Mus musculus: one gene and its partner. The protein of the gene in region 1 purifies or fractionates together with the protein of each later gene. This does not show direct contact. Links are inferred from orthologs where the notes say so. Each region holds a gene or a part of one and is shown in the gene's direction. Other genes may lie near its edges.

What was found.
Region 2: the proteins of Polr3e (region 1) and Polr2f purify together in Homo sapiens (affinity purification with mass spectrometry; 4 studies listed by BioGRID and IntAct, with this or other methods). This does not show direct contact. The link is inferred for Mus musculus from reciprocal best matches to the Homo sapiens genes POLR3E and POLR2F.

Annotation. Positions count from the first base shown.
Region 1 is NC_000073.6:120,916,508-120,920,578, forward strand, and holds the start of Polr3e (DNA-directed RNA polymerase III subunit RPC5), read left to right. Parts: upstream 1-1,270; 5' UTR 1,271-1,403; intron 1,404-4,071. UniProt on the Homo sapiens protein: DNA-dependent RNA polymerase catalyzes the transcription of DNA into RNA using the four ribonucleoside triphosphates as substrates.
Region 2 is NC_000081.6:79,144,312-79,147,829, forward strand, and holds part of Polr2f (DNA-directed RNA polymerases I, II, and III subunit RPABC2), read left to right. Parts: intron 1-282; coding exon 283-352; intron 353-1,741; coding exon 1,742-1,872; intron 1,873-3,518. UniProt on the Homo sapiens protein: DNA-dependent RNA polymerase catalyzes the transcription of DNA into RNA using the four ribonucleoside triphosphates as substrates.

The DNA of each region.
Region 1 (4,071 bases):
GAATATGTATGCATGTTCAAATGTAAATGCAGAAATGAGTTTAATTCTAGGTGGTGGAAATATGGGGTGTGTGTGACTATTTTTTTTTTCATCTTTTTCAGTGTTTTAAAATATCTAGGGCTGGTGAGATAGCTCGGTCAGAAGGTAGGTAAACACACTTGCCTCGAAGCCTGACAACCTAAGACGCCCCCACAGGGTGGAACAAAAGAACTTATTCATCAGGCAAGTTGTCCTCTGACCTCCACGGCCCGCCCCCGCCCGTTCCCCACTCCCAAACAAATAAATAAAGTAAACGTAAAAGTCTGTATGGGCATATTAACATGCAAAGATACTTAAAAATAAAGTCTGGTTAAAAACAAAAGCAAAACAGAAAATAAATCAAAAGTATAGTGAAAAACCAGCCAGCTGTATATCTCTATGTGTTACTGTGTTAATATTTATATACCAACCCATTCACAATATGAACAAAACTATTTTCTATGGAGATAAACATTGACAGCAAAAGAGCAGAAAGGATGTACAATCAGCCAATAATGCTGGGTACTAGGAAACTAGAGCAAGTCAAAGCTCGAAGAATCTTATTTTGAATATTACAAAGAATATATTTTATCTGCAAAGTTTTAAAATTGTTTGTGTACTAAAAATTTAAACACGTAAATTTTCAGATAGAACTCTGCAGACCTGGGGTTACAGTTCAGCTCTGAGAGCTTGGTGAAAGTTACTGACAGAACCAGACATCGAATTCGGGTTTTTGAGTGTCTGAGTGGCTTAACCTGACACCTTAACCAACTGACTCAGAACGCAAAATAAACTATCCTTTGCTTTAAAACTTATTTGGAACAAGCTTGCATCTAAATACTTTTATTTCAATAAGTGGCATGATGATAATATTGTTTATGGCAATTTCTATCGGCAGGAAATAAAATAAATAAATATAACTCCAAGAATCGAAAGAAAATATACGTGTCAATCCAATAAGTAGCTTCTTAGAAAACGACGTCAACAGCTGGGTAGTGTGGCCGAGCGGTCTAAGGCGCTGGATTAAGGCTCCAGTCTCTTCGGGGGCGTGGGTTCGAATCCCACCGCTGCCAAGGCAGGCTTTTTCTTTTGTCTCAGCGTCTTTCGCTCTAGGTTCCTTCTGCGAGCGCAGCGGCGACCCCTGCTGTCGATGTGCGCTCTCTGCACCACGAGCAGCTCGCCGAAGGGGCGGTCCCGCGCGCGCCGGGGCGGGGCATTGTGGGTAAGAGGAAGCGCGAGGGCCGGCCCCGCTCCCCCCACGTGTCCGGCGGAGTTTCTCCAGCAGGAACATGGCCGCTGCCTGATAGAAGACCCGGCCGCCGCCGTCTCTGCAGCCCGCGGGTCCCTGGGCCGTTCCGCCGCCCGCGCGCGGCCCCGGCGGAGAGGTGAGCCCCGACTCGGCAGCCTCGGGATCCGGGTCGCAGCCGTCGCACTCGCTCGGTGCTCCGGGCCGCGCTGCTGACTAGGCCAGACAGGCCCCCGCCGCTGCGTGCCGAGGGGCCGCGGCCTCCCGGGACCAGGGCAGGGCGCAAGGTGGCCGCCCGGCTTTCCAGGCCGCCCCGGGCCTGGGTCGCTCCGTTCGGCTGGACGGTGGGGAGACGACGGCGGTGCGGCCCGCGCTGACTCAGGCTTCGGCCGCGCTGCCCCGCCCGGGCCTGGCTCCCGAACCGCACCTGCGAGGGCACTGGTGCCCGGTGGCGTGGCGGCTTTCGGAAGAGTGGGAAGGGCGCCTGAGCACCGGCGACATGGAGAAAGCCACTGGACTCGGGGCCGCCTGCATGGGCAGGGGTCGTTGAACCTGGTCAACTCTGCTTAGCCCGAGCGGGCCCGGGACGCCTCATTCATTGATCTGTGTTTAAGCAGAGTGGCGACTGCTTCGTGGACCCGGGGACCTTCCAGTAACGGGGGATGGTGCACATACCGGGTCATCCTGGAATATTGTTTTAGAGTTCCTGGGTTTGGGAGCGAAAAGATAAGATCATACCTTTATCTGTGAAATGGGGATATGATTCCCGTGCTACGGTGTTTTAATGAGTGTAAGATGGGTGACACTCCTGCTTCTTTCATTTGTGGCTGTCTTGTTCGGTCTTATATTGGAAGAAAACATGTTGCCACGTAGCAACAGTCCTTCTAGGTTCGCCTTATCCCTTTGAAGCCGGTGTGTGGTTTAAAATAGGAAAGGACCCAGGGTTATGCAATTCACGTCGCTAATCAGCTGCTATATTGAAGAGGTAGGATTTGAACCTGTAAGGTTTTGCACGGCAGTCCAACCTCTTAACCACTACACCATACTGCCTTTTACCAAAGAGATGTGCAGCATGTTAGTTAAGAATAAAACCAAGGCTCTTGGCATCAGCTAGATTTGGATTTCTTTACCTGTTTTCTTGGGGGGCTGTGACCTTGGGTAAACCAATTCGAAGTTGGGCACTATAAATTTTGATTTGCACAGCTAATGAGAAGAGTATTATTTGGTACTATATTGATGCCTGGCATCATTAATATTTGGGAGAAAGAACTGTGATTTTTTTTTTTTAATTTTAAAAGTAATGATCCCATAACCACGACCAAGTATAATTATTATCTCCACTTAATGGTCCAGGAATGTGAAGCATAGAGAAGCCTTCGTAGAGTTTAAAGTCTAGTACAGAGGACAGCTAACACCTGACCAGCAAGCAGATCAGGAAGTTCCAGCTTAGGACCATTCAGGAAATAAGGAATTATGCTTGTAATGGAAGGGGCTGGAAGCGGCTGTTTCAGTTGAGTTGTCAGGGAACACGTCTAATCCTGGAAGGACTGGCAGTGGTTACATATAAGGAAAATGAGCATCCAGAAAATGACTTGGTGAGCCGGGCAGTGGTGGCTCATGCCTTTAATCCCAGCACTTGGGAGGCAGAGGCAGGTGGATTTCTGAGTTCGAGGCCAGCCTGGTCTGCAGAGTGAGTTCCAGGACAACCAGGGCTATACAGAGAAACCCTTGTCTTGAAAAACCAGAAAAAAAAAAAAGAAAATGACCTGGGATTGTTGTGCAGAGTGTCCTCAAGGATGCTTGGGGCTTGGCCTGTTAGAAGTTCAGTAATTGGTCACTAGGCCATGAGGAGATGCTTATGTGGAGACAGGGGTAAGATCGTGTAAGGGCTTAGGGGTCCATGGAAGGATTTGTTTTATGGGACAGTTGGAGGGTTGGGAGCAAGGCAGCAATGCTATAGTAGCATTGCTACTGACAGTCACAAAGAATGGCAGTCTCTTGAGCATTGGAGATAGGAGGGTGGAGCTAGGGAAGCCTTTTTGTTTGTTTTGTGTCTGTAACTTTTTTTTCCAGATGAGGCTTTGCTATGTTATAGCCCAGGATGGCCTCAAACTTGTTATCTTCCTCCCTCAGCCTCCCAAGTGCTGGAATTATAGGCATGGGTCACCACAGCTTGCTTTGGAAGCTTGGATTGTTGACAGGTCAAGTTTCATTAGTGAGTGTTGTAAAATTGGGTTGGGGGGTCTTGCTACCAGCATTTTTATTTTGCAAGGGCAAGGATGGAAAACATCACTGTGTGGCATGTAACAGTCATGCTACACAAAACACTGCTTCAGCTGTGGCATTTCCATGTATCTTCTGCATCATTGATGGGAAAATATTATTGTTGGTCATAGGCTAAACCTTTAAAAGCCACTGAATTGGATACAGTTGTCTGGGAGGCTAAAGGGAGGTGATGACCTTTGCAGGTAACTCAATCGGGTGCCGTGTTGAGAGAGAGAGAGAGAGGAGCCTCTATCATCCAGAGGGATCTCATTCTGCCTGATGGCAGGGCTGGGCAGAATTTCAGCCCTGGAAGAATAGTTGGGAACCATAGCCTCTTTTTGCATGTGTTATGTTTCCTTGGTTCCCCCTGAAATCCTGTCTTAATGGGCCACCAAGTACAGCTGCCTGTAGAGCCAGTACCTGCTTAACACATATCTGTGACACTCAGTAGCCAGTGCAGATGCACAGTGGCAACCATGTAGGACTGTGCCTGCCGTGTCCTGATGTGCTGTGATGGCCCATTTCCCACCGGCTGCCTCTTT
Region 2 (3,518 bases), on another chromosome or scaffold:
ATACACAAACACACAGATAAAATAAACCTTAAACACACAGTCCCCGGACCAGAACAGTCCATGTGTACATGTAACTGGCGTGGTTCACAGAGAAGGAAACCACAGTGAAGGTGTCCTAGCAAACTGTGGGGACACATGGCACATGATTGGAGGCACAGAGTGACCCTCCAGAGTTTGGTTCCCTTGTTGAGATTTGCCGGCCCCTTGTCCGACACTGCTGAGACATGGGCTGTATCTCTGGTTCTGGCCGGTGATGCTCTAACCACCAGTTTCTTCTGGCAGTTTCGACGGCGACGACTTTGATGACGTTGAGGAGGACGAAGGACTTGACGACTTGGAAAATGCTGAGGAGGTCAGTAGCCAGCCTCGGCCTCTGCCCTGCAGCCCGGACAAGGGACGGGCAGCGTTCACCAAGGGCTTTCCCTGTTCACTTTCCAGGAATGCAATTCCATGGATCTGCTCCGGGCCTTTGTCTGAGTGCCACCTCAACTAGGTCTTGGGATAATCGTGTCGTCTTATGTATGGTTTGGTGGTGGTGGATCTTAGTATAGAGCCTGGAACTTACTATTTAAGCCAGACTGGCTTGTAGCTCACGAGAAATCAGCCTTCCTCTGCCACCTGAGTGCTAGGATTAAAGGCACAGGTAGAAGTAACTTTGGTCCGTTTTATTCACTACTGTATCCTAAATACGGTTCAGCATGTAGTAAGCACACAGCAAACAATTACTTTTTTTTTTTTATGTATTTTTATGCATGTGCACGTGTGCTGTATGCAGGCGCACTTACCTGTGCAATGCATGTGGAGGTCAGAGGTCATCCTCTCTCCTTCTCCATCTTATTTTTCAAGACAGGGTCTCTCTAAACTTGAGGCTCAGTGCTTCAATTAGGCTGTCAGCCAGCAAGCCCCAGAAACCCTTCTGACTCTACCACTAGTTCTGTGGCTATGCCTGTAGCACACTGCTACAGACCCAGACTTCTACATGGAGGCTAAGACCCAAATTTAGGTTCTCCAGTTTAGGTAGCAAGCAGGTTACTCTATGAGGCAAACCCTAACCCTTAAGTCTTGGTTTTAGAATCATGTAAACGGATCATGAGCTGCGCAGTTCTCTGGCAGCCGCCATTGCTATCAGAAACTCTTTGCTTTGTGTCAGATCACCATTATTCCTGTGTGCGTTTGTGCATGCGTGCTGCAGGGGATGAAACCCATGGTCTCGTGTGTTCTCTCTCTCTCTCTCTCTCTCTCTCTCTCTCTCTCTCTCTCTCTCTCTCTCTCTCTCTCTCTCTCTCTCGCCTAAATAGAGCAGAGGACAGCAGGTTCTTGCTCAGTATGTGTTTGACTCTCATTTACCATGACTGTTCTAGTCACCTGACCCAGTGACTCATTTGCCATATGAAAGAGCAGGTGTTTGTCCTGAGCTTCCGGTTCAGGGTGTGCTCACCACTTACAGGGCCAGCTGTTTGGGCAAGGCGGCTGGCTCTAGAGTTCTGAACACCGTCATCTTTACTGCTAGCTTGGAGGTTTTGGTCAGGTTGGCTGACTCTTGAAGCCCCTGGATTGGGGACCACAATCCTTACCTTACAAGGTTGCATGCGGTTAAGGATTGCGTGGTGTCAGTGAGTGGTTGCACGGTCCATGACATCCAGAAAGGGTTGAGGGTGGTGGGAAGTCTCTGTGTCATCATCGTCCTACCTGATCCAAAACTTGCCCTGAGATTTCCCCTCTTTGTTTGCTTGCTATCCAGGAGGGCCAGGAAAATGTCGAGATTCTCCCATCTGGTGAGCGACCACAGGCCAACCAGAAGCGGATCACCACTCCTTACATGACCAAGTATGAGCGGGCCCGGGTGCTGGGCACCCGGGCTCTTCAGATCGCGTAAGTGCTGCCCTTTGGCCGTCGTGTCTGTCAGTTCACCACAGTGAGCCCAAGCTGCTGGTCCTGCCCAGCCCTGGTGTGTCAGGACTTGTGCAGTGCTTTAGGGCACCTGTGGGAAAATGTAAGAAGTGACATGAGAAGTGACAGTAAGAACCCTGGTCAGCCGGGCGTGGTGGCGCACGCCTTTAATCCCAGCACTCGGGAGGCAGGGGCAGGCGGGTTTCTGAGTTCAAGGCCAGCCTGGTCTACAAAGTGAGTTTTAGGACAGCCAGGGCTATACAGAGAAACCGTGTCTCGAAAAACAAAAAACAAACAACAACAAAACAAACAAACAAAAAAGACACAGGAGGATCATGGGTTCACGGGCCTACCTGGACTACCGAGTGAGTTCTAGGCTAGTCTGGGCAACTAGCAAGACGCTGCCCCAAGATAAAGAATGAAAAGAGGTCTGGGGTGGAGCCCAGTACATGTGATTACCTGAGTTCAGAGAATTCCTGTCAGTTGGTCAAACAAAATAAGAGTGAATTCAGGCAAGGCTGCAACAGCTCCTTCTAGCTTACGCTGATGGGAGGGAGGCTGGCCAGCCCAGCCCAGTAAGCAGGCCCCTCACTTGGGAAAGTCTGGAGCAACGGTGGCTCTGGGCGCTAGGAAACTGAAGAGCATGTTGTTTTTCTAAATTTGGATGGCCGGCCAGTGAGCTCAGCCCATCCAGAGGAGGCAGGGTGTTAGTGGAACTCTAGTGGGAGACCCAAGCCTAAGGGAAACTGTTGGTATGGGGCGCGTGGGTGCTGCAGGATGGACTAGGGAGAAGGAAAAACACAGCAACAGCAGAACATTCTCCCATGGGGCTGGGGAGGCCTGCATAGGGCTGTGAGCATCCCTACCACGGGTTCATACAGCCCTGGGTAAAGTTGACTGCAGTGTCTGCCTCGGTAAAGGGTCTTATGTACAGTCAAGGTTGACCTCAGCCATCCTCAGCTATAGACCTTTCTTCAGCCTGGCTGCACTCTTGGCTCCTTGAGTAAAGCCACCTTCAGGGGGATATGTGGTCCTAGTGGCCTAAGGATAGTCTCTGTTATGGCACTCATTGGCTACATGTGGCCATTAAATCAGCCCTGTGAGGCAGTGCACACCTTTAACCCCAGCACTCAGGAACCAGAGGTGTGTTGATCTCTGTGACTCCAAGGCCAACCTGGTCTACATAAGGAGTTCCAGGAGAGCCTTGACTACACAGTGAGGCACCATCTCAAAAACAATAACAGTAAACCCCAAACAACCACCACTACAACAAAAAACACCTACCCAAACAAAGGAAAAGAAAGCACGCACACATACATACACACACACACCAATACTAGAGATACCTCAGATGCTCAGGGGCCTGTCTGTGGCTCCCAGTTAGCACGGGGACATCACAGGTACAAGACATTTCCAGTTTGCTGAGTGTTCTGGGACACATGTTCCTTTAGCTAAGATTGCCCTGTAGCAGGAAGCCTTCATTGTGCAAATCTAGCAGTGCTCACCACTGCACCTGTCGAGGATGCAGAGGTGATGAAGACATCACCTCTAGCTCCCCAGGGAGCTTCTGATGTAAAGGCAGTGTGGGCAGTGCCCTGCAAAGGATACAGAAAAGCAGGCGCCTCGCG